Alligator mississippiensis: one gene and its partners. The protein of the gene in region 2 purifies or fractionates together with the protein of the main gene of each other region. This does not show direct contact. Links are inferred from orthologs where the notes say so. Each region holds a gene or a part of one and is shown on either strand. Other genes may lie near its edges.

Region 1 (8,240 bases), on a different chromosome or scaffold from region 2:
GCAGGGGTCCTGGCGCCCCACGTCTGCGCGCAGCCCAGCCCAGCGCGGCTCTGCCTGGACACTGGAGCCACTTGCTGCCCGCTGAGGATGTCTGTGGGTCCGGGCTGTTTGAGTGCCGGCCCTGTGGCCGCTGTCTTCGGAGAGCCTCGCGCCCTCTGTAAAAAAGGGTGTCTGTATTGTCAACTTTCCCTAACCCCGGGCCTCCGCTCTTGAGAGCTAGATCTCAGGACAAGCCTTGCGGCTTCTTCACCTGGCACTGGAAATGCCACGTATCTGGGTCCAAGAAGGCAGTTTTCCTGAAGCGTGTCACAAGAGAACTGCTCTTCTGGCGTGGATCAGGACCTGGCGAGGTGCAGTGGTGTTAAGCCCAGTTTGTGGAAATGGCAGTCTCCCCCCTTGCTTGCTCCGAGGGCCGCAGGGCTGAGGACAAGCAAAACTCAGGGGCATCTGAACCCCAAGCCCCCGGGCTTGGGCCTGCAAGTAGGATGCCTCCCAAAGGTTTTGGAAACAGCTGAAGCCCCAGATGCGGGTGGAGGATGGTTGCCGGTAGTAGGCCGCTTATGGTTCTGGACACTTGGATTTAGCATTAGTTTTTGCTAATGTGGCTGTGGATACAAATTAAATGTATCTAGATATATCCATCTATCTACCCATCTAGATCTATTTCTCTATCTATATAGATATTTGCTGGGTTCTGCTGTTTTCCTGTCTGATCCACCCAGGCCATAACCAGCCAGCTGGGAACCAACAGGGCATTGACTACTTAGCTATACGCAGTACTTGGTTATCCAAACTGTTTGTACAGGAAGCGTTGGGATGCTACCATCTATTCTTCAGCCAGCTAACATACAAACTTGTTTGCAATATTTCTTGCTGAATACCATCTATAGATAGATAATGTCCACAGGATATAAATTTAGATACTATTTTGATGATGCCTTCCCTACAATAGCCCCAAGTAACTTCTATTTACTGTTTTCAGTCCCACATGGATGTAACATAGACTTAGTTACTATTTTGTGTTGCCTCTCCGCATTTGAAATGCACAGGGAACTCATCTACAGGTCTTAAAATAGTCATTCATTCTTCCAGACGCACGCTTGTCAAAAATCCCTTTCCCACTGGGCTACAAAAATTACATGTATTCATTACCTTGCTTAAGTCCTGACATCAGTGGAGCTATACCAGGGATAAATTTAATTTAATCTGCTTTCAACGATATTTGCCATTGTTGAAGGTTTTTGTAAAAGGGAGGAGCGTGAGGTGGGTTCTACCGTGTCCTGTTTCAGAACTGAAGGGGAATGGAGCAGTTATTTCACTATTTTTTCCTGACTGCCAAAGCAACACAGGCAGAAACAAGAATTTGGGGGATGTGCGTGTTCCAGATAACTGTTCTTATGTCAAAAACATTCCTCTTGCATGTCTATGTTATTCACTAGTGATATAAAGATACTCTCCTACACTGAACCATTTGGCAATCCCCATCCCTGATCTTTTAAAAGTTTAGATTCTTACCTTGGATTGTAGAAGTGTCCTGGGAACAAATCTGTGAAGAGCATGTGAGGTTCCTCTGTAATCTGACTGTCAGAAATTCTGAGCATTCACAACTCTGGCTGAAGGCTGGGACCCATGGGGCTCAGGATCTCTGAAAAGGAGATTCTTAGTGAGCAGGACACCAATGGCAATTATAAAAATTACTAATCTTTACATGGGATCTGGTATACTGTTCCACTGGGGTCTGAGTGTATTGACAATACACCTGGATCTCTCCTGCAGAGGGGCAGCCTGCTGGCATTTGCTCTACTGGATGACTTTTTAAAGGATGTGCTTTTCCAAAAGGGCTTTTAAACTGCAGTAGCCACATAGTTGGCAGATGTCTTTGCATAAGTACATTTGTCCCAACAAGGGCAGGCAAAGTTCTTTGAGTAGATGTGATATCTTTTATTAGACCAACTGAGTAGCTGGAAAAAAAGTTCTTAGCAAGCTTTCAGGCACAATCACCCTTCTTTAGGCATAAGAAGTCTCTGCTGCTCTGACTAGTGCACCCACGCTGCCTGTTAGCACATCAGTAGATGGAGCTGCAAGCAGCAGCATCTTTATGTGAAGGTACAGTTTTAGAGATTAATTTAAAAGTATGGCCCTAGATCTTTAAACCATCTTAAAGAAAAGGTCTCCCTTTTCCTTCATTCATCTGTTCCCAGGCAGCACTTACTAGCCTAGAAATGATCTTGTTTTTTCTCTTCCATTCCTGTTTGGAAATGTCCTTTTTTATTTGTAAGATAATTTCTCCAAGGATCATCACTTGGCTCTTTTTATTTAACTACTGGTACAGCAGGTGTGTAAGTCATCTAGAAAGGCAATGCTGTACAGTCACAAAGCCTGCTACACTGCCCTTTGCAGACACCATTCCTGTGCACAAGCTTTTACATGAGCAGAAAATTATTCTGAGAGGTAATAAGCACATGCAGTTCTACTTGATATCAGACCTCAGTTTCCTTCATACCTAAATTTAGGGCTCTGACTTTGCAGGCCATGATCTGTATGACTGGAATCATCACAGAACTGACAGGGCAGACTAATGCTGTGGCAATATTACTGACAATTGAGAGCTTTGATATCATGCACACATGCCATATCCTCCTTTACCCGAGTGCACCTGCAAAACAGTAAAAGGTGAAGTGCTTTGTGCAGCTTACAAAGTAACGTTCATGGTGACTGACAGGCTCGGAGTGAAAATCTCAAGGCACTTTGCCACCGTTTCTGCAGATTTTTTCTTCTCCCTTTTTCCTCCTTTCTTGGAGGCTTGGGAAGAGAATCTGCTTTCTTCTGCTTGCTTCCCTAGCACTTTCTTTCAGGCCTCTCTTGCACCAGGTAGCATGGCTACTGTGATTAGATTGAACCAGGCAGGGCATAAAGAGCTCACCTCAGAGCCGTAGGTTCATTGATTCTCGCAGCTTTCAACTTCATATCAGTATAAAGGCAAGAATACCTAAGAGCTCATAAATGATCCTGCTGCAAATTCTGTGTTGCCTCCAATCCATCCAGTTTCCTTTCCTTTCCCCTGGGACATTAATTTTTTTTTCAGTGTGAAAATCAGCTGTTGGCACAAAGGTTTGCTTTTTTGCAAACCTTTTCTAATAGAAAAACAAGTATATTCATTTAATTTTAGATCTCACTGAGAACAGGAGGATTCCAAGTGATGAATTCTGGGGAACAGGCTCATCCGGAGTGAAACACCTGTTTAGAATGTGAAACAGCCAGATGGGGGCAAAATCCAATATCAGCACAGTTTGAGGCCGCTCCTGTTAGCACAAATGTTGACCATAGCAATCAAATACAATCAATTGTATAGGAATATTAGAAATGCAGATTAAAGCAAGCTTCTAGCAAATGGTAACTTTCCTACCAAGATTGCTAGAGGGGGACTGCAAAGATGTGTCTGGCGAGACTGAAATGATGTTGCTCCTTAAAGAGGCTTGGACAGGAAGGAGGGCATTCTTGATGCCTGTTTCACACTTTGCTGATATCTCCAAGGGCAGGAGTCTGCCAGGGAGAGAGGGTAATATTGTTATTTCAGACTCTGCCTGTATGAATCCTCAGAATGAGAGGCGGCTCACAGCAGAGAGAGAAATTGGCAACATATGGCTGTGTGCACCTCTTAACCTCCACTAGGGTTATTAAGCTTGGCCCTCTTTGAGGTTAACTAGGCTTGATAGCTTGGAAGGAAAAATAAGTAGTGGTTTCTCCTAAACACCACCAACTGATGGCCTGAAAATGATGCATCACCCACAGCACGAGATGCAGATCTTTGATTCTCCCCGCTTACCTTTCTTGCGTGAGGAATGAAAGTTAACAGCATGGATGATGTAAATCATCATTTGACATCTGAGCTAACATGTCCCTGATACAAAAAGGGCATTTCACACCTCTCAGAGCTATAGTTCCAGGCTCTGCAGTTTCATACAGGTGTGTCTGCATAGCTCACAGTTGACTGATATTTGTGAGGTTTTATGTACAATTATAATAGCTGAGACTTATTTAAAAAACTGAGAGCAGAAATTCTGGAAAATAAGATGGCAGCTCAGGCAAAGGGCCAAAGTACTATGCTTTCAGCTGAATCTGAGCCTGGAACAGGAATACCGTTTAGCCTCAGTTACAATGGCAGTTGAGATGCTATATATTTTCTTGAGCCACCACTTCCTTTGTTTTTTTCCCAAACACACTACTGTTTTCACCTGGGCATACTTCCAATGTAAATATGGCCCTGCATTTTATTTTTGTAGCTACCCTTTCACAAACCCTGAAATGGAAGACTTTCTCTTTGTGAAAATTAGAAAAAAAGAACCGGTGGAAACATCCTATTAAGTATTTCCCTGCATATTTGGGAAATGGCAACAAGGTCCGAGTGTGCTGAATAAGAAACTGAAATGGATCACTTCCCGGTCGGATGAAATGCAAAACGCAGAGATCCAAAAACAGAAGGCCAATCAGAAATACAAGAACATAACCTTTCAGACCAGTGATTTCAGGTGTTGACTATTTACAGAGACAGTACTTCACATGTTGGAAGGGATGGTTTCACAGTGCCCTTCCAGCGTGCAGAGTCAGGGCACTGATCATTTTGTGCTTCTCCAGGTTCAAAGAAAGAAGACAGACTTATTCCTACTTTCTGTACTGCAAGGTATCCCTGATCGTGCAAGAGATCAGCGATCATGAAGCTGTGCCACATCTCAGCTTGTAGGGCTGGATTTTAATTTCGCCTTTTAACTCCACTAGTGAGGATTTTGCTTGCTGAGACACTGGAAACATCCCTCTTATTCTACTCTTGCTGCATAGCCCGCTTTGGCCGCCCACGGACACTAGAGAGAGAAACTACAAGTCCCATGAAGCTCTGGGCGCGCCGGAGGCATCACGGCGCCCCCTGGCGGCGGCTTTCGGTCGCTGCGCTTTAAATCCAAGCAGGAGCCCGGCGGGTAGCGGGTCTCGAGCTGGCAGTCGGGAGCAGCGCTGCTGCCGCAGAGATCTAGGGACCTGGGCAAGGTCGGTGGAGGCGGAGGGCGAGCCAGCCCCACTGGCCACGGAAGGGTGGGTGGGGACAGCCCCCCATGCGGGCTCGGGGGTCGATCCCCACCAGTAGATCTTTTGCAAAGCAAGCGGGGGAGAAGGAGGCGGTTGCATTGCAAGCCTAGAAGGTGAGAGCCAGGCAGAGCTGCAAGCATGGGGAACCGCGGGATGGAAGACCTCATCCCCCTGGTGAACAAGCTCCAGGATGCCTTCGCAGCCATCGGCCAGAATGCCAACTTGGACCTGCCCCAGATTGCTGTGGTCGGGGGGCAGAGCGCCGGCAAGAGCTCCGTGCTGGAGAATTTCGTGGGAAGGTAAGATTGCAAAGACACGTATGATTTTAGGGGTCGTTCTAGTGCTGGATCCTGATGTGTCTGTATCTTGTGCAAGGCATTACTCAATATGCAGGCAGTGCAATTCAAGCAGGGGGAGGAGGGCTGATCTTGCTCCCATTGACTTGGGGTTTGTGTAGAAGGAGCCCAGTCCCTGCTGCATGCACACGCTCTACAGCTAGGATTGCAATGCAGGGTATAATGCAGAAATCCATGAGCGGTGACACTGTCACCTTCAGTAGCCCAGGGGTCTCTCTCCGCAGCATATAAGTGTGTGTGTGTGTATAAGTGTCAAGCTCTAAACTGGTTAGATCTGATTGGCAGCGGATCAGTGCTGGGCCTCATTGCTGGGTAGGCTCTCATAGGGTTTGGAGAAGGGGGAGGTGAAAGAGGTTCCCACAGATCCTTCTCTGGAGTGACTAATGCACAAAAGAAGCCATTTGTCTGAAGGTGGAGAGGGAGTGAGGAAGTCATGGAGCTAAATGCGTTGTCCACAGCACAGGAGATTTAATGGTTTAAATCTTAAATCATTTATTTATTTTTTTTTGAGACCTAAAGACAGGGAGGCAGGATTCAGGGGAAGGAGCTGGGATAGAAGGATGTCTGCCCCCCTTCACACTGTTGTCAGAGGACAATTGCTGCTGGACATGGAGGGGGCAGGCTGAGGAGTATGGGAGGGAGGGCACTGCTTCAAGGAGAGAAGGAATAACATAGATTGGTCTGTACATTCAATACACCCTCGTAGAGATACAGCAAAGCACAAACAAAGGCTCCCTCCGTTATGTAATCTCAGGAGGTAGAAATGTCTGAGGAAAATAGCCACAATTGGTGTGTTCTCCTATTTTATCACACCTTGGGGACCCTCAAACCTGTGCCAAAAATGATGCAGCTCCTGAATCATTATTGGCATTGAATCATCTATGTGGTTCTGGAAAGGGCTGATCAGTGAATACTGCGCATGCAAATACAGAACTGTCTATGCAAAACCCGTTTGATACCAAGATAACCTTTCCCTGCTGTTATCTGAGCACATCCTTCATGACTAGATGTCTTATTTGTTACAAGTTTCACCCTGAGGAATCCTACAAGGTGAAATGCCTGCTAGGAAGGCTAGGTTAACACAGCTTGTCCTCTGCTCTTGATTGTGACTGGCTGGGTGCAAGACTTGCCCCCAATGCTATGCAGCCCCCTAAAGATGGAGGTAGTTGTTAAGAGGCAAAACAACAGTGTCATTTAAGTTTAATTTGATCCCCACCCCAGTGTCTGCTTCTGTCCTCTATGGTGGATGCCATGTCGGGAGCTGATGGAGAAGATGCAGAAAGGATTGGGTTGTTTGTTCCCCTGTAAGCTCTGGGGACTACCATTTTGTGACAGGAAGATTGATGCTTTCCCTTCATGTAACATTCATATTAAATCATCAGCAAATTCAACAAATAGCAGGTAACCAGAGAAGACACAGACACAACACCTGGAGATCTTTCTGAGCTTGTCTGTAGCCTGGTTAAGCTATTGTAGCCATTGTGATTATTCTTGCCTATCGGGAACTACCTTCCTCTGTGACCATGATGCAGGTTGCAAGGGATTTTCCTAAGACAACTGCTATGATAGTGCTGTGTTTTAGACCTCCCCTCACACCCCTCCTGCCCAAAATTTGACAGTCTCCCATTTCTTCCCCTTTTACTGTTCTCTCTTCCCCACACTAGCCTCTGCACTGTGTTATCTGCCAACAAAAGACTTGTAAAGCTTTTGTATTGTTAAGAGAGCCTGTAATGAGTAGAAATAGCTCTATCTTTGGTACCTGAACAGACCCCATCATAGGGACTTAGACTCGGGCAGCCCTCAGAAGTAAGACTGTGTGTAGGCAGCACAGCTTATTTAAGAGAAGGCATAACTGCCGCTCCTGGGGAAATTAAAACACTGGGATCAGAGTAGTATTTCATGCAAAATATCCTATAGGCACATGTAAAAGAACAGCCTGGGATTCTCACTTGGTGATTATAAGGGACCTATCTGGAGCCTACTGATGATCCCATTCTGATTGTTCGTGTGCCTGTGGGCATCACAGCAAGGAAAAGACCCCCCCCCAGTCGGCTCTTACACTAATACTGCTACTAACTTTATCCCTGTCCAACCTTAGAGCCACAGTCATTGACCTGGAATCTATTGTGTTAGGAGGCTGTAAAAACACAATAAAGGATCCCTGCCCCCAAAAACTTAATACTCTGATAAAGCTAATTGAGAAGGGAATAAGATCACCAGAACCACTGCTGAATAAAACCCTAGTTAACCTGTTGGGTTGTCTGCTTCCGTGGCCCCTAACAGCTGATGGTCAAATCTATCGAGTCTTGTCTGAAGGCACTGCTGCAATGGCGTAATTTATAATGCATGACCACTGAGCCAGGAAAGGGCTCTTCTAAGGGACGCTCAGCGTATCGGGGAATGTAATACCTTTCTTTCAGATTTTTGCAAGCATTAGGGGACACAGTCATCCTTGGTGTAACTCCACTGTTTTCAGTTGAGAACTGGAAAGTGTAGTTGCCTGATGGAGGGTAATGAGCTGATTTCTGTTTTCCATCATTTTCTGATGATCTGTACCCTAGGAGTACTTGTGACCATGCTGTGTCCTATCAGTTGTCTCCATGGTAGCACATTAAGGTGCCACAGCTTTTAGAATAATTAGATGACAAAAGGGTCTGCAAGCAGGAACTGACGGGACAAAATAAAAACAAACCATTCATGGAAATAATTGGAGAGAAAATAGAAAATGTATCAAAGGGAGGAGCTGTTGTCTCCTGCTTGATGCCATTCAGTGGCTTGGTGACTTAGGGTCTCGGTAATGGGTAT
Region 2 (8,149 bases):
TTTCACATTAATATTATACTTGCAAATAAATATTTAGAAGCAGAAGACATTTCTTGAATGTTAGGTATTTAATTTGTTGATGCATATTTTTCAATTTTGGATTGCATCCATCTCAATAAACCAGAAAACTAACTCTGCCTACTGTAGGGCAAGCAGACATCAATGCAGCAGAGCACAGCTGAGAACACTGCAAAACCTTTTTATGTCATTTGGGAACCTTTGCGGGTAGGTGAAAAAGTAGTCAGTGCCTCAATGGTAGATGACTCTGCTGCCGCAATTGGCATGGCAAGAGCCTGCACTGCCCTGGGCACCTCACAGCTGCCTCAGGCTCAGAGCTCCCCATCTGGCTGGGCCCCTAGATGGCAATTAAGCACCGAATTTTATTAACAGGTGTTAATACAACTAGTTTCATTGATTTCAGTGGGACTATTCATATGCATGAACACTTGAAGGATCGGCTCCTGATGCTAGCCTTAACTTTCAATTTAGTGCCCAGTGTAGGATCAAGCTATATATGCAGCAGCTAAATAAACAGCCTTGAATATCAGTGTACTTGACCCACAGGCTCCTATTATAGGTTTTATTTCTGTTGAAAGACTGACTTGAACTAAAAATAAGGCTCCTCCTAAGAAACAGGAGTATTTTCTTTATTAAATAATAGGTCTCTACATTTAAGCTGAGCTAAAGCTCCCTTTATTTAAGGGTCATCACACTGTTTCCAGGTATTTGCAGCACTCCCATCCCCAACCCAATAAAGCTTAAAAGGTAACAAATGGCACAATACAAATTAAATCAAAACCTTGCAAGCTACTGTGGCGATGGAGGTAAATGATAAGCCATTTTTTCTCTAAGAAATCTACTAGTAAACTGAAGAAATTCTGTGAAGCAAACAGCATTTTTCTAGCAAAAAGCTTTACAAGTTTTACTAAAGCCTCCTTGTGAACTTGCAAATCAGAGCAGCATTCACTTTTTCACAAATAGGAAAGCAAAGCAACAGGGAAATTAATGGTAACATTTTCTGAAGCATATGGTACTTTTGGATGCCTCATCATTAGGTATCCAACATGATGCATGCAATATGATTTTCAGGAGTACCAAGTAGTCCTCAATTCAACTGACACAGATTAAAGCTGAGGGCCTTCAGAACCTCTAAACAAAAAAAAAAAAACAAGATCTAAATGTCTGGAATAAGACTCTCAGACGCACCCATGTCCCTCCACTGACAACAACGCTAAAAGGCACTTTAGGGGGAGGGGGGCAGGGCAGGAAACCAATTGGAGAGAGTGCAGAAAGCTCTTCAATTTACTTGACAATAGTACAGCAAGAGCTGATGGCTGAAAGCTTAAAGCTAAACAGTACCAAATTCAAAATAGAGCGCATTTATGAACAGCGAGTTAGTTAACTGCTGGAAGTCTTGACTGAGAGTTGTGACGGAGTTTCCATTTTTTAACATTAAAATTAGCTACTTTTTCAAAAATACAACATTCAAATACAGAAAGTTGTTCGGGGAGGTCCTGTGTTTTTGCAGGTCAGATTAAGATCAGTTGTTCTCAGTGTTTTAGGCACCCCTTGGAAAATGCTAACTTTGCTCTCACTCAGTTTTGAGCGCAGAAAAACAACAGAGGAACTCTTCTGTTGCAAAGAACACAAACACCACATGTCTGAATGTTTCTGATGCTCTGGAATCTTATTGGAAGCCTCTGAGTTTGTCAATCACGTGTCAGTCTTCGTGCTAATAGTAGTAATATTGTGTGGCACCCTTAAAACTTTCTGCTTGAGAATCAATTAACTAGATGATCACAACAGTCTTCTGGCTTAAATCACTGTATATAGAGCATTAAAATGTGGTCTTCTCTCAAAAAACCCCCAAAAAACCTAAACCAACCCTCATCCACCAAGTCACGGTAACACAAATCCGAAACAAGATTTGGTAACATTTTTGCAAGTACCTCCCCAACATTTAGCAGGATCTAATAGGAGTTAGCAAGTTTGAAAGGGGAAGAGGACCGCTTGGGGTAAAGATAACTGTGACAACTAAAATCCTACTTCATATAAGTAAAAAATAGCTAGCTATGTTTCTGAATGGTGTACTGAAGTTGCATGGACCATCAACAATTAAAAGTAGAACCTATTGTTGATAATCTAAAGCATGACAGATAAAGCTTTCTTAAATGTATTGCACGCTAAGGCCAAGGTAACAGGCTACTCTCTTATCAGTATATCAAAACAAAAAGCCAAGTAGGTATTTACACCTGAAAGAAAACCCAGCTTCCCCTCAAAATTAAGGAGATGAAGCTGAAAACTGTTGCAGCTCTACTGCCCACCAGGTAATTGTATTGAAGAGAGTATTCTTCTCTAAACAAGTTACAAACTACGATAAAAGTGGGAAGAAAGACAGAGCACACACTGCTGACCCAGAGTACACTATTGCAAATCTTTATAAAGTACTGTAGTATATAAACTCCAAGATTAAACCGTGCCTCAGTCAGATACCAGTAGCAGAGATATATTTAAATGTTACAATAAGGTAAGAAAAACCCTGAACGAGGTGGTGTTTATGTAGCCCACACCTTTCACTCAAAGTCACATTCCCTCTCCAACAAGTATTCTACTGATTCTAGAAAGTCGATGGCTGAGTGACAGGGACAAGTTTCAGAGGTCATGGATGAAAACCCAATTACAGTCTTGGTTTCTGTGACAGCTACAGCAACAAAGTGCTGGTTTCTTACACTCTTCGCTCACCACATCCAAAGGTGCCCCCAGGACCACCACAACTCTCCACTTCCTTGCTGCAAGACAGCACAGCAACGGCAAAGCGGTCACTTTAGGTTATCTCCTGTCTGAGAGGGCCCTTACTTCAGCAGCTGGTATCAAGAAATGCCCATCGCCTCTCTGAAAGGATAACTGTGGCCTGTGTGTGGCCTGCAGCTCCATGACACAGAACAGCCCTGGCTCCCGCCCGGTCCAGAAGAGCACAAAACAACTGCAGTCACTCCCTCTGCCTGAAGAAGGGTGCTCCTACCCGAAAGCTTGCAAAAAACAGCTTTTCCAACTATTTTCTAATAAAAGAGATCGGGTTTACCCTAAGAACCTCGTCTGCCCGTGCCCTTAGACCAACGGGGCTACAACCAACCCCACGAGTTTCTTCCCTGGCAATCAAACCAATTAAGCGGACAGAGAGTGGCAACAAAAAGCAGCACCTCTCCAGACAGGGCTTCCAACAGCTCCTCCCCAAAACCAAGCCAGCCCTGGCACCCGGGCAGCGCCAGGGGGGGAGCGGGGCGGCAGACTGAGGCGACCAGCGGGCGGGTGCCGCGGGAAAGGGGCCGGGCCGGGGGGCACCCCAGCGGCTGTCCGCCCCGGGCTCTGCGTCCTGGGAGCACGGCCCAGACCGCAGGGAGCCGGGCCCAGGCCCTGCCCGAGGGAGACGGGACCCCAAGCCCGCAGCGGGGGGAAGAGGGGGTCCCGGGGCTGCGGCCCCGGCCTGGTGTTCACCTTGGCGGCCATGGCGGCGGTGCGGGGCCTCCCTCCGCCCGCTCCTGCTCCTCCGTCCGCTCCCGATCCCGGTCCCGCCCGCTGGCGCGGAGGCGGCTCCTACCCTGGCCGCGGCAACCGGGGCAGTGGGGGGCGGGGCCCGGCCTCTGCCCTATCCACGCCCGCTCCCGCCCCCCGCCACGGGCAGCACGGGACCGGGCCGAGGGCGGGATTGGGCCGGGGCTGGTGCCGCGCGCGGCGGGGAGAGCGGCGCTCCGGGGGCCGGGGCCGCCTCAGCCACGTGTGTGTGCGACACAGACAGACAGCTAGTGCGTGCATGCATGCGTGTGGGAGAAGAGGAAGAGTCCGTCCCGTGTGTGAGATACGCGTGTACTGGTGTGCGCACGTGTGTGTTGGTTCGGGCGGGGGAGGAGGACTAGTCCGTCCCGCGTGTGTCCTCTGTGTGTGTGTCTTTGTGTGGGGGAGGAGGAATAGTCTGTCCTCTGTGTGTGTTCACGTGGGGGACAAGTGTATGCATGTGTTTTCATGTGGGGAAGAAATAGTCTGTTGCGTGTGTGCGTGCATGCGTGTGTCTAGGAAAGGAAGAATAGTCCATCCCATTTGTGTGCGTGTGCTGTGTGGAAGGAAGACTAGTGCATCCTGTGTGTGTGCTCATGTGTGGAAAGAGAAATAGTCTGTCCCACGTGTGTCCTGTGTGAGTGTGTTTTTGTGTGGGGGAGGAGGATTAGTTTGTCTCATCTGTGGAGGGGAAAGCTGCTGGCCCACCAGCCATTAGCCTTGAAGCAGGAGTTTCAGAAACCTGCATCTGGAGGAAATTAATCTTCCATGACATCAAGTTTCTTCCACAGCATTTTTTTTTTTGGTCTGTACTTCACTCGTCATCGGCATGTGTCATGTGGGTGGGCCCTGGCAGGCATTGGTAATTATGCAGAGTACTACAGTATCACCTAAGGGACCAACCAGACCGGAGCCCTATTGTATGAGGTGCTGTACACGGATATAGAATAAAGGTTATTCTTAAACCTGCTTAATTTACAGCCTTTGAAAATGAGGTAATGGGTAGATTAAAATGGGGAGGTAGGGAATACAGGGACAGCAATACAAACAAACATCTGCATACACTCACTGTGTGCATAGTTTGTAAATGCAGTGGTAGTGGGAGGGGGCAGCTTTAGCCACATCTTCAATCCCAAGTTAAAGAAATAGGGTAATTATACAGTTGTCCTCAGGAAGTTAGAGAGGGTCCGAAGACGAGCAACAAAAAAGATAAAGGGCAAGCCGTGTGAGATGTTGAAGGAAATAGGCATATTCAGCTTGCAGAAAAGGTGCTTAAGAGGGGACATGATAATAGACTTCAAATATCTGAAGGGCTGCCATCAAGATGAGGGAGAAGACCTTTTCTGTCTTGCTACAAACAGCAGGAACTCAGACCAATGACTTGAAGTTGCAGCAACATAGGTTTATACTGGAGATGAGGAAAAACTATGAACTGTTCAGGAAGGACAGGCAGAGGAGAAGAGGAGGAGTTGCACTTTGTGTAAAAGAGCTGTGTGATTGCTCATAGCTCCAGTATGAAATGAGACAGGCCCACTGAAAGCCTCTGGCTTAGGGTCAGAGGGGAGAGCAACAAGGGTGATGTCGTGGTGGGGGTCTGCTATAGGACCACCAGACCAGGAGGATGAGGTGGACAAGGCTTTCTTCAAACAGCTAGTGGAAATTTCCTGATTGCAGGCCCTGGTTTTCATGGGGGACTTCAATCACCCTGACATCTGCTGGGAGCGCAATACAGCAGTACGCAGGCAATCCATGGAGTTTTTGGAGAGTGCTGGGAACAACTTCCTGGTGCAAGTGAAGGAGTGACCAACTAAGGGCCATGCTCTTCTTGACCTGCTGCTCACAAACAGGGAAGATTTGGTGGGGAATATAGAAGTGGATGGGAACTTGGGCAGCAGCAACCAAAAGGTGACTGAGTTCAGGATCCTGAGGAAAAGGCAGGATGGAGAACAGCAGAGTAAAGACCCTGGACTTAAGAAAATCACCTTTTCACTCAGGGAACTGATGGGCAGGATCCTCTGGGAGGCCAGTCTGATGGGGAAAGGAATCCAGGAGGACTGGTTATGTTTTAAAGAAACTACTTGAGGGTGCAGGAATGAACCATCCCAATGTACAGGAAGACTAATAAGTATGGCAGAAGAGCAGCTTAGCTTAGCAGGAAACTCTTAAATGAGCTAAAACACAGAAAGGAAGCTTATAAGAAATGGAAACTTGGACAGACTAGGGAGGGGAGTATAAGAGAACTGCATGGGCATGCAGGAATGACAATCACGAAGGTCAAAGCACGGCTAGAGTTGCAGCTAGCAAGGGACATGGAGGGTAACAAGAAGGGTTTCTACAAGTATGTCAGTAACAAGAGGAAGATCAGGGAAAATGTGGGTCCCTTAGAATGGGGAGGCAGCCTAGTGACAGAGGATGTGGAAAAGTTTGAAGTACTCAATGCCTTTTTCAGCTCAGTCTTTACAGGCAAGGTCAGCCCCCAAACTACTGCACTGGGCAGCACAATTTGGGGAGGAGGTGAGCAGCTGGCAGTGGTGAAAGAACAGGTTAAGGACTAATTAGAAAAGGTGGATGTGTACAAGTCCACAGGACTGAATGGGATGCACCCAAGAGTGCTGAGGGAGGTGGCCAATGCGATTGCAGAGCGTCTGGCCATGATCTTTGAAAACTCATCGTGGTCAGGGGAGGTCCTGGATGATAGGAAAAGGGCAAATATAGTGCCCATCTTTAAGAAAGGGAAGAAAAAGGATCTAGGGAACTACAGACTAATCAGCCTCACCTCAGTCTCTGAATAATAGAATCATAGAAAATTAGTTTGGAAGGGACCTCATGAGGTCATCTAGCCTAACCCCCTGCTCACAGCAGAACCATCCCCAACTAGATCATCCCAACCAAGGCTTTGTCTAGCCAAGTCTTAAAAACCTCCAAGAATGGAGGTTCCACAACCTCTCTGGATAACCTGTTCTAACGCTTTACTACCCTGCTAGTGAGAGAGTTTTTCCCAATATCTAACCTAAATTTCCCTTGCTGCAACTTGAGACCATTGGTCCTTGTTCTGCCATCACTGAGAACAGTCCAGCTCCATCCTCTTTGGAACCCCTCATCAGGTAGTTGAAGGCTGTTATCCAATTCCCCTCAGTCTTCTTTCTCCTCTCCAAACTAAATAAGGCCAGATCCCTCACACTTTCTTCATAAGTCAGGTGCCCCAGCCCCTTCACCATTGTTGTTGCCTTCTGCTGAACTCTCCCATTTGTCTACATCCTTTCTGTAGTGGGAGCCCCAGAACTGGACACAGTACTCCAGATGTGGCCTCACCAGTGCCAAATAGAAGGAAAGAATCACTGATCTGCTGGCAACACTCCTACTAATCCAGCCCAGTATACTCTTAGCCTTCTTGGCAACAAGGGCACACTGTTGGCTCATATTCAGCTTATTGTTCCCCAGGTCATTTTCTGCAGAGCTGCTGCCCAGCCAGTCAGCCCCCAGCCTGTACTGGGACATGGGATTGCTCTGTCCTAAGTGCAGGACTTTGCACTCGTCCTTATTGAACCTCATAAGATTTCTTTTGGTCCAATCCTTCAATTTGTTGAGGTCTCTCTGTCTGAATCCTAACTCTACCCTCCAGCATGTCTACTACTCCCCCCCAGCTTGGTGTCATCTGCAAACTTGCAGTGGGTACGCTCTATGCCATCTTCCAGGTTACTAATGAAGATATTGAACAAAATTAGTCCCAGGACTGACTCCTGAGGCACTCCACTTGATACTAGCTGCCAAGTAGACATCAAGCCATTGACTACTATCCTCTGAGCCCGATGATCCAGCCAGGTTTCTATCCACTGTATAGTCCATTCATCTAGCCCATACTTCCTTAGCTTCCTTAGCTTGCTTGCAAGAATGTTGTGGGAAACCATATCAAAAGCCTTGCTAAAGTCAATGTATACCACATCCACAGAACCAGTCATCACATCATAGGAAGCAGTCAGGTTGGTCAGGCATGACTTGCCCTTGGTGGATCCATGCTGACTGTTCCTAATTATTTTCTCCTCCAGGTGTTTAGAGTGTTTGTCAATACCCCCCACCCCCAGCTCATCAAAACTCCCTAAGTGGCTCTGTCTCAGGCTTGGCCAGGTGGGGAGCAGCATCTGGGAGTGGGGCAGGCAGGCAGGGTTAAGGCAGAGCACTGGCTCATGGGCAAGGGCATATGGGGAACAGATTGTGACTCTTCCCTGGGCCCCAGCCCCATGTTGACTCCAGCAATCCCAGGTTCTCCATGAAAACCAGCCAAGGTCCGCGTGGGCAGGGTACATCACTGGGCAGATGGGATGGGGTCATGGGCAAGCAGAGAGCGTCTGGCAGTGGGATGGGTGGGCAGGGACTTGTGGGCAATGGATTGTGGCTCTCCCCTGGGCCCCAGCCCTGCACAGTCACCACTCAGCAATCCTGATCTCATCCCTGGCCCTGCCTGTCCGCAGCCCTATCTGGGCCAGTCTCCATGGTGACCCTGCCCACGTGATCCATCCGCAGTGCCTGACAGTGGGTACAGGGCAGATGGGCCTAGATGCCCAGGCAGCAGAGCTGAGTCCAGCAGTGGAGAGTGGCA
Region 3 (8,420 bases), on a different chromosome or scaffold from region 2:
TCCATCTGCTATCTTCCCTGGTTTATGAAATTAGAAGAGCGCTTGAAATTCTCTCTCCTTCAATTACTTTCAGGCTCCTCAAGCTCCTAGTGGAAGCGGTTCTCAACCCTGACAACAGCTCTGTGCAGGTGAAAGGCAAAGGGAAGCCTTACTCATTTCACTAGCACTAGACCTCTCCTCATCCCTACAGCCCCTGCTCTTCCTTTTTTTCCCTTGCAACTTACTAATGGCTTAACTAGGGGTGTCAAACTTGCCTTAGGCCCTGGGCTGGATCTGGGCCATGTAGGGTCCTCCTGAACCCGATCCATAAAGCCAGCAGCAGCTGCAGCAGGTCTAGACCCTGCAGGTCCACAATGAGGTAATTGCACAAGTTGGGAATTGTGGCAGTGCATGTCCAAGTGTAAGCAGCAGAGCAAGTTGGGGAATCAGGTGGGAGCACAGGTTGGGAAATTGGGTGGCAAGCATGTGCTGTGTAGCCCTCACTCACCCTGTGCTGCTGAAGGCCATGTCCATCAACGTTCAGGGACCCTGAATTCTGCAGCAGCCCATTCTTCATAGGGCACATACCCAACTTCTGGTAGTCTTCCAGACTGCTGGCTAGGATGGTTCTGTGAGCTGGATTTAGCCTGCAGGCCATGCATTTGACACTCCTGGCTTAAACAATGTCTGATGCTACAACTTTGAAGGGTGACCAGAGAATTGTTTATGACACAGGATTGCAGGCTTTGGGATATGGGACAGTTGTTTATTTGTTTTGTAGGTCACCAAGGAAACCAGATAGAGAATCCCCGATTATTGGCAGGGCTTGCCACCTTTGGGCCAAGCTTTTGTTTCAATGACAAAGTTCCTAAACAACTTCTAGCAAGTCAACTGTCGCACTCAGCCCAGTAAGAAAATTAAGACCCATACACTCTCCTGAGGCTAATGGGCTTTTAGGAGAATACAGGAAGAGAAGCATCACATTTTTCATACCTTAACTCATTTTCTGTTTTGAGAAGCTGCCAGGGTCAGTTCAGAAGTTTCACGTTAAAAATATTTTGTACCAGTTTCCACTGAGGGAGAATCACTTCCAGTTTCAAATAATGGCAATTTTACTGTTTCTCTTCTGAAAACTTCCTGTCAAAATCTACCTGTGCTTTACATTTTTGTGGTGTAATGTTATTTTGGGGGGGGGGGGGGGGGGAGAGAAATCAAAGGACATTGGCCAATCTATCAAAAAGAAGCCATATATAACTTTCTAAATGTAACTTGGGTGTACACAGGTTTGTACTCCCCTCTCCAATTGGAGGGAATTATTGGCAGGGCAGGGTGCTGTGGAGGGACACAGGAGACTAGTGGCCGCCTCTGTCCCCTATGGAGTCAGACCCAGTCAAATCAATTACTTAACAAATTTGTATATAGTTATTACAATAAAACCATTAAGGGTAAGGACATATGTTTGTAACCCGGGCGGTACTCCAAGATGTACCCCCTCTCCAATTGAAGGGATCAGAGCAGGTGCACAAGCATTGTGGGAGGTGTAGGGATCCTCCTTCCCCTATAGAGCAAAGCCAGATTACCAATGGGGACTTAACCATATACCTTTTAATGAGAAAAACAGTAGTGGGAACATAACATGTGTAAACCAGGGGGTATAGGGAACACTACAACACCCCGAGGGGGCAGGATTCAATAGAAGTTAGGCACTTACAATCCTAGACATATTCTTCCAGTTGACAAAAAGACAGGTTTAACAAAATATAAAAACGCAAACAGCAGAACAAACAATACTGGTTGGCAAAATATAAGAGGCACAAGATACAAAATGACAAACAACAAGAAATATAGGGGCTAGGTACCTGGAGGGGGGGGGGGGGGGGGAAAGAGGGAAAACACAATGACCCCCTTCCACTGCAACAAGAATTTCTCCCTGTCATTTCACCTCATTTATCCTAACTAGGACTTGAACTCAGAGCTCTCACATACTATGCAGAAACTCTACCACACAGCCACCAGTGCTAGTATTGCTGCAAACTGCTGGGGGTTTTGACTTTCCAAGAGCCCCTGCCTCACATCAAGCTTTCTTGCCTCTTGCTGGAGAAGCTGGAAGCAAAGCTGGGAACCTCTCAAGTCACTACTCAGCTTCTTGCTGGAGCTGGGAAACCTCTCCTGCTGGCCACAGCCTCTCATAGGGGGATCCTAGAGCCCAGTGGGGAGCCTCTCCTGCCAGCTACACACCGTGCCTCTGAGGGTCCAACTGCTGCCTGCAGGTCCCACTCCTTCAGGTGCTTCTGGGGCAACTGCTCCTGCCCCGCTAGCCCAGCTCTTGCCAGCTCTTTGAAACTCCTTCCTCCTGTTCCCTTGCTGGTCTCCAAGTCGGCTGCACTGCCCCTTTTATCCCCCTCCAGGTGACCCGAGGGGCCAAATCAGGGGACATGGAAGGTGAATCTCTGGGGCCCGATTGATGAGGAAAGGGAATCCAAAGCCCTCCAATCATCTTTTACCCTTTCAAAACCCCTGGGCCAAATCATTACCAGGTAGCCCATCACATGTACACATTTACAAAACAATTAACCTTATACCATATACACACATTATTCAAAAATACAAGTGAACAACAGAACAACCCAGAACAAAGGATATTGATTGGGCAACTTTATAACTCTATTAATATACAAACTATTACTTCAACTTATTCACATAAACTACAAGGCACAGGCTACATATATAACAAGCAACCCTTAGACTACCTGGGTGCCCTCCAGGGCAGGGGCCCCACTCCCAAGGTATCACTACAGGAAAGGAGATGGAAGGAAAGAAAAGGAGAGGGAGACCCCAAAGACTCCTAAGCTCCCCCTGCTATCATCCAGGAGCAGCCCGTGAGGTGGCCCTTCACAACCCTGGGGGTCCCTCCCCTGTGGGAACCCTCTCTCCAGGGTTACTTACTACTCCACAGTCCCGGAGGGTTGCCTCCTGTTCTCCAGGTTGAGCTCTGTTCCTGCTGGGTTTTCCTGCCGCCTGACTACTGTCACTGGCCTGGCTTAGGGCCACATGCACTGCTGTGTGTAGCGGGCGCTTTACCTCATACTAGGGGTTGGAGGCCTGGGCAGCCTTGTGCAGCACCAGGGCTTGGTCTGCTCCTGGACCATCTGTGCAGCGTTGTCTGCACTTAGCTCCCAGTCTCATGTGGAGTTTGAGGACCTGAGCTGCTCAAGTGGCTCCAAAGATCCTGCTCCATACCCCAGCCTGTGCACCATCTCTGGCTGCACGCCAAAGGTTGCAGACCCGAGCCACTTCATGCAGCTGCCAGGATCTGGATGCCGTGCTGCGCCCCGAGAACCTAACCACTGGAGCCATCTGCAGCTCCCGGCTGATAGAAGTTTTCAGGGGCTACTGCTATACCCTGCTGAGCAGCTCTCCTCAGCTCTTCTAAGCCCCGCCCTTCTCTGTCCCTAATGCATCTCCCCCCTGCTGGAGGCACAGCTCCTTTTATACCCTCCAGGGCTCTGCCCCTGAAGTCTTCTGAGCCTGACAGTGTTGCAGTCTCCAATCAGGTCCAGGGGAGCTCTTCTCTCCCTCCCATCAGGAAAGGCATGTGACTTCACTTCTCTTACTGCCTCCTGATTGGTGGATGGGCTCCACCAATCAAAACAGCAGGATCTCAAACCTGGGACTCAGCCCAAGCTCTGAAAGGTAAGCCTGCTACATAAATTTTAAATATATATATATTTTTTTATCAAGACAAGTGAATACAGCTGACCGGCTTTAACTGCATAGACCAATGCCTGATGCATAGACTTAGAGGCCTGATGCCTTTGAGGATGTAGGTTGTAGCTATGTTGGTTTAAGGACATAGGCAGACAAGGTTCTTAATCTTTGGGTAAATGTGATATCTTTTATTAGACCAACTAAACAGTTGGAAAAATTAATTGACCTGCCCTCCTCACTCCAGACCTGCTTTAGAAGCCTGGCAGCAGCCAGCTTCAAGACGATGCAGTTCAGAGGAGCACAGGGATGTTAGAGTGGAGGTAGCAGGCCCAGGAGATACCTGATGCTTGTGGTGGTCTGAGTGGTTTTGGCAGTTCTCATGATATTGAGCAAGTCAGGGGTGAAGGGAAGCACTAGGCTCTCAGTAATTCTCTGGCCCTCCTGGCTGTAGAGCAACATGCTCCTTTGGGACTCAGCTTCCCCCTCAAGGCTGAGATGTGAAGCCTTGAAGGCAAAGCAAACAAGCCTAAAAATCACATGCACACGCTTGCACGCCTCTGCAGACTTCGAAAGAAGCCCCCAAAGTGGAAGAAAAGCCTCACTTCCCCTCTGTCCTCAGAAACACAGGCCCCCTCCCCTTGTCCCCCAGCCCCCCCACCTGCTTTCCCTACTGTCCCCAGGTGCAGGGCCAGATTAATCCTTTACTGGGCCCTAGGCAAACAAATGTGTGGGTCCCAAGCTGGTTGAGACCCCCTTCCCCACCCTGGTGCTGCTGCCACGGGGAGTGGGTGGGGCTCAGCTGCTGTGGGGAGGCTGGCAGAGGGGAGGGGGAGGGAAGGGAAGGGAGGAGAGGTGGACAGGGCCACCACCTTGGAGGGAAGGGCCAGTCCCCCTCAGCTCAGGGCTCTAGGTCCGTGCCTAGTTTGCCTGTGTGTTAATCCAGCCCTGCCCAGGTGGGGAAAGCTTCAGAGCTGCTCCTTCCCCGTCCAGGAGGACTTGTGTGGGGCTGGGCTAAGACGAAGAGAGAGACGGGGGCGGACGCCTCTGAGCGAGGCAGGGGGACGCTCATCTGCTTCGGGAACTTTACAACGGCGTAGGGCTCGTGCCCGCAGGGCAGGACAGGGCTGCAGCTGGGGGCGCACCCCCTTTGCCAAATTCTGCATCCGCCCCTGCTGCGGGGGGCGGGTCTTCTCCAGGACTCCTGGATGCCCCACGGGGCTTCTATCACTCGCAGGCGCCACGTCCCCGCCCCAGGCAGCCTCCGGCAGCCGGGACAACACGGGGGGCGTGGCAGGGGCGTGTCCCGGTCGCCCCGCCCCGCCCCGCCCCGCCCCCGGGGTGCGGCGCGCACTGCGCAGGCGTGCGGCGCAGACCGTTACCTGGCGGCGGCGCGGGGATGGAGGGGCTGATCGGGCTAGTGAACCGGCTGCAGGACGCCTTCGCGGCGCTGGGCCAGAGCTGCCTGCTCGATCTGCCGCAGATCGCCGTGGTGGGCGGGCAGAGCGCCGGCAAGAGCTCCGTGCTCGAGAACTGCGTCTCCAGGTGAGGGCGAGGGCGGCTTCGCCGCTGCTGCTGCTCGGAGCCCCCGCCCCGCCCCGCCCCGCCCCGCAGCGCCCGGCACCTTTGGGCGGCTGCGGCTTGTCCAAGGGCAGGCGTGCGGGCAACGGGTGTGTGCGTGTGTATGCCAGAGGGTGTGTGTGCATGCGCGTGTGTCAAAGGGGGTGGGGGATATCGAAGGGGGATGTGTGTGTGTGCGTGTGTGTGTGTGAAGGAGGGGGTGTGTTGAAGGGTGTGTGCGTGCGCATACATGTGTTTCAAGCCTCCCAGTTAATGCAGGTTTGTTGCCAGGCTGCAGAGGAGGAGGCTGCCCGCCGCGACCAGGGATGCTCCATCACCCCCGTAAACAACCCCCTCTCCTCCTCTTCTCCCACCCCCTGTTTTTGGTAGTGGTGGGTCCCCTCCACACAGGTGTTGAGCAGCATCCTGGGTTTCCAGTGTGGCTGGTGTAGCAGAGAGATTCAAGCAGTGAGTGGAGGGTGGTTGGGTTTTGGGTTGTTTTTTTTTTTGCTGTGGCAGCTAAGACAGATGTTGGGGACCAGATGTGTAGTGTTCCAGTGACACCAGCGACTTCATGGATAAAGTCTGAGGCTGGGCTGTGACTTTGCTTTCTCGTGTGGTTTCCACTGCACATGCAGGAGGGTGGCATCGCCTTTCCCTTTCCTTCCTTCTGAGAAGCAGACAGGGCTCCTGTCTCACTAAAGTGCTTAGTAATGGGGATTCCATTGGATGTTGGGAAATGTGACAGTGCTGCTACATTCATCAAGGGTATGTCTTGTATTCAAAGAGGCTGACATCTCTTTGGAAGGCGGATATAACATGCAGCTCTGCTAAGCTGTTTGCTCAAAATGTGTATGGAGAGCACACTTTTTAACATGCCCTGGGAAAACTAGCATTGTTTACAGGATATCAATACCATTTTATGCTAGGATGGTTTGCAGTAATCTCTCTGGGGAAATATAACAGTGGAAGAGCTGACTGTAAATATCACCAAGGTTTCTGTTTTTTGCTGATTAATTGATTGGACTTAAAAGTGATCCAACTACTGTGGCTTGGCTGGATTGAGCTCCTTGATAGCAATTGCAGTAGACAGCACTTTGCAACAAATACAGTGGTGGCTTTATACTACAGCAGTCTGAATTCATAGAAATGTTGAATAGAATTTCTCTGCTCCATTCTTTGCACTTAGGCAGGATCAGTTCCTTACGCATTTTTTTTTTTTTTTTTTTTTTGCTTTTAATTTTTTCAAATTTTCAGCAGAGATGGTGTACCTGTGCAAGTAGAAAAACCCTCTGTCTGCCTCTAATGCACTTGTATGACAATTACAGTAGGGTCATCTTTCATCAATTGGAAATTAAGATATTTTGGTCTCCACAGCAGGGGCTGCTGCTAGAGGACCCAAGGGGCTTTGAGCTTTATTAGGTTAGGCCAGAGATGAGCAAAATGGTGGATCCGGCTGGTGGCCAGACTCCATTTCCCAGCAGCTCCTGTCTGTGTCGCAGCTAGTTTCCATGAAGACCCCAGGAATAGCGGGGCTGTGACACTGCGGGGCCAGGGTTTCCATGGAGACTGGCCCCAGCAGCACTGTCAGGACACACGGCTGGAGGGGGAGCTGCTCCGGGGCAGGGGTTGGGATGTTGCAGTGATGAAACATGGTCCAGAGATGGGGCAGAGCCATGATCTGCTGCCTGCACACCCCTGCCGTGCGCCCTGCCAGCACTTCTGCGTCCAGTCTCCATGGAAACCCTGGTCTTTCACTATCATGGCTCTGCTGCTCCTGGGGTCTCGAGGGAAACCCACTTCAGCAATGCAGGCAGGGGCTTCTGGGAAATAAGAGTCCACTGTGAGCTGGATCTGGCCTGTGGACTGGACTTTGCCCGCTGCTGGGTTAGGTGCTTCACAGATGCAGTGTAAGAGAGAGTCCTTGCCTCAAAGAGCTTGCAGCATAGCGCAAAACACAGCAGTGAATTGGATGTGGGAGTCAGACTTCTCATACCCTTGTCAGAGAGGAGCTAACTCAGTAACTTGGAGATGGGAACAATTTTTGAAGCACAGGTCAGCAGGAATTAAATTGCTTTACCTGCAGATCAGCCATCTATAGCTACTATAATTTGGGTGTCTCTGGGCAGTGCTGTTCCCAAAAATGTTAAAAAGAGACTTTTTAAGAATGAGAGTTTCCTTTCTGGGAGTACGACATTTATTTAGTCAAGTTCTGAGGTTTTGGAGCTGATGCAAGTAGGTTCTTACACTCTGGATATACAGGCAAAAGCTCTTACACCTTGTTAAAATGCCAGCTGTTATTAAGTGAAATAGGTAAAATCTTAACATACATACATGAGTAGAGCACATTCTCATTGCAATCTCACTTATGTTTTGCTCTGTATAGAATTATTTCAGTTATTATTCTACTCTTAATGTGTTTTTTCTTTCTTTTTTTCATTCTTATGGGTCATCAACAGATTTTGAACCCACAACCTTTGTCTCCAGGTACCATTTCCAATTCAGTTCTATAGCTGTAACAAGTGGCTGGAAAGCATCTTGTTATCCTGTGTGGAGGAGGCCCTGCAGGGGAAATGCAACATACACATCACATTACCAGTAGATCACATAAGTATTGGTGGGAAAAAGATTTAACTTTAGACATTGGGATACTTGTTTATTCATCCTGGTACTGGGCATATGTTATGATATAGTGTTTACAGAAGGCAGAAACAAAGAGAAGAAAGCATCTATTTCAGGCATTTCTGGGACTGAATGAGGGATCAGTGGACGTAAAAGTGAGTTTCCACCACTTGGCCAAAGGAACCAGATCTTTTGGTGTTCACACAGTAACAGAATTGTCATTTCCATATGTGGTCTTGCTGCCAGAGGAAGACACAGGGCTTCACTAGATTACAGAAGCATTTGATTTACCTCTCTTCCTTTTAAAAGACTACGGAACAGTGTGGGTAGACTTGGGCTTTGTTCCCAGCACTGTGTGTAAGTTCTTTGTTATCTTGATGTGGACAACTGATAAACATCACTTTACTCACCGAAGGTGGTAATATTAAGCTGTGTTTCATAATAGAGTATGAAGAGGGCAAAGGAATTCTAACAGCCATAGGATTAGAATTTATTACCTCTTGCCTTGCAAATTCAGTGCACCTTCTGCTGGGTTCAGGGACCCTGAGGGACAG

Evidence for each region.
Region 1: the proteins of SNX9 (region 2) and DNM1 purify together in Homo sapiens (co-immunoprecipitation; 6 studies listed by BioGRID and IntAct, counting the BioPlex papers as one, with this or other methods). This does not show direct contact. The link is inferred for Alligator mississippiensis from reciprocal best matches to the Homo sapiens genes SNX9 and DNM1.
Region 3: the proteins of SNX9 (region 2) and DNM3 purify together in Homo sapiens (co-immunoprecipitation; 3 studies listed by BioGRID and IntAct, counting the BioPlex papers as one, with this or other methods). This does not show direct contact. The link is inferred for Alligator mississippiensis from reciprocal best matches to the Homo sapiens genes SNX9 and DNM3.

The regions. Positions count from the first base shown.
Region 1 is NC_081835.1:57,700,189-57,708,428, reverse strand, and holds the start of DNM1 (dynamin-1), read left to right. Parts: upstream 1-4,924; 5' UTR 4,925-5,217; coding exon 5,218-5,378; intron 5,379-8,240. UniProt on the Homo sapiens protein: Catalyzes the hydrolysis of GTP and utilizes this energy to mediate vesicle scission and participates in many forms of endocytosis, such as clathrin-mediated endocytosis or synaptic vesicle endocytosis as well as rapid endocytosis (RE).
Region 2 is NC_081824.1:136,046,520-136,054,668, reverse strand, and holds the start of SNX9 (sorting nexin-9), read right to left. Parts: upstream 3,661-8,149; 5' UTR 3,508-3,660; coding exon of another isoform or gene 3,496-3,507; intron 1-3,495. UniProt on the Homo sapiens protein: Involved in endocytosis and intracellular vesicle trafficking, both during interphase and at the end of mitosis. Required for efficient progress through mitosis and cytokinesis. Required for normal formation of the cleavage furrow at the end of mitosis.
Region 3 is NC_081828.1:44,901,188-44,909,607, reverse strand, and holds the start of DNM3 (dynamin-3), read left to right. Parts: upstream 1-5,045; 5' UTR 5,046-5,083; coding exon 5,084-5,229; intron 5,230-8,420. UniProt on the Homo sapiens protein: Microtubule-associated force-producing protein involved in producing microtubule bundles and able to bind and hydrolyze GTP. Most probably involved in vesicular trafficking processes, in particular endocytosis.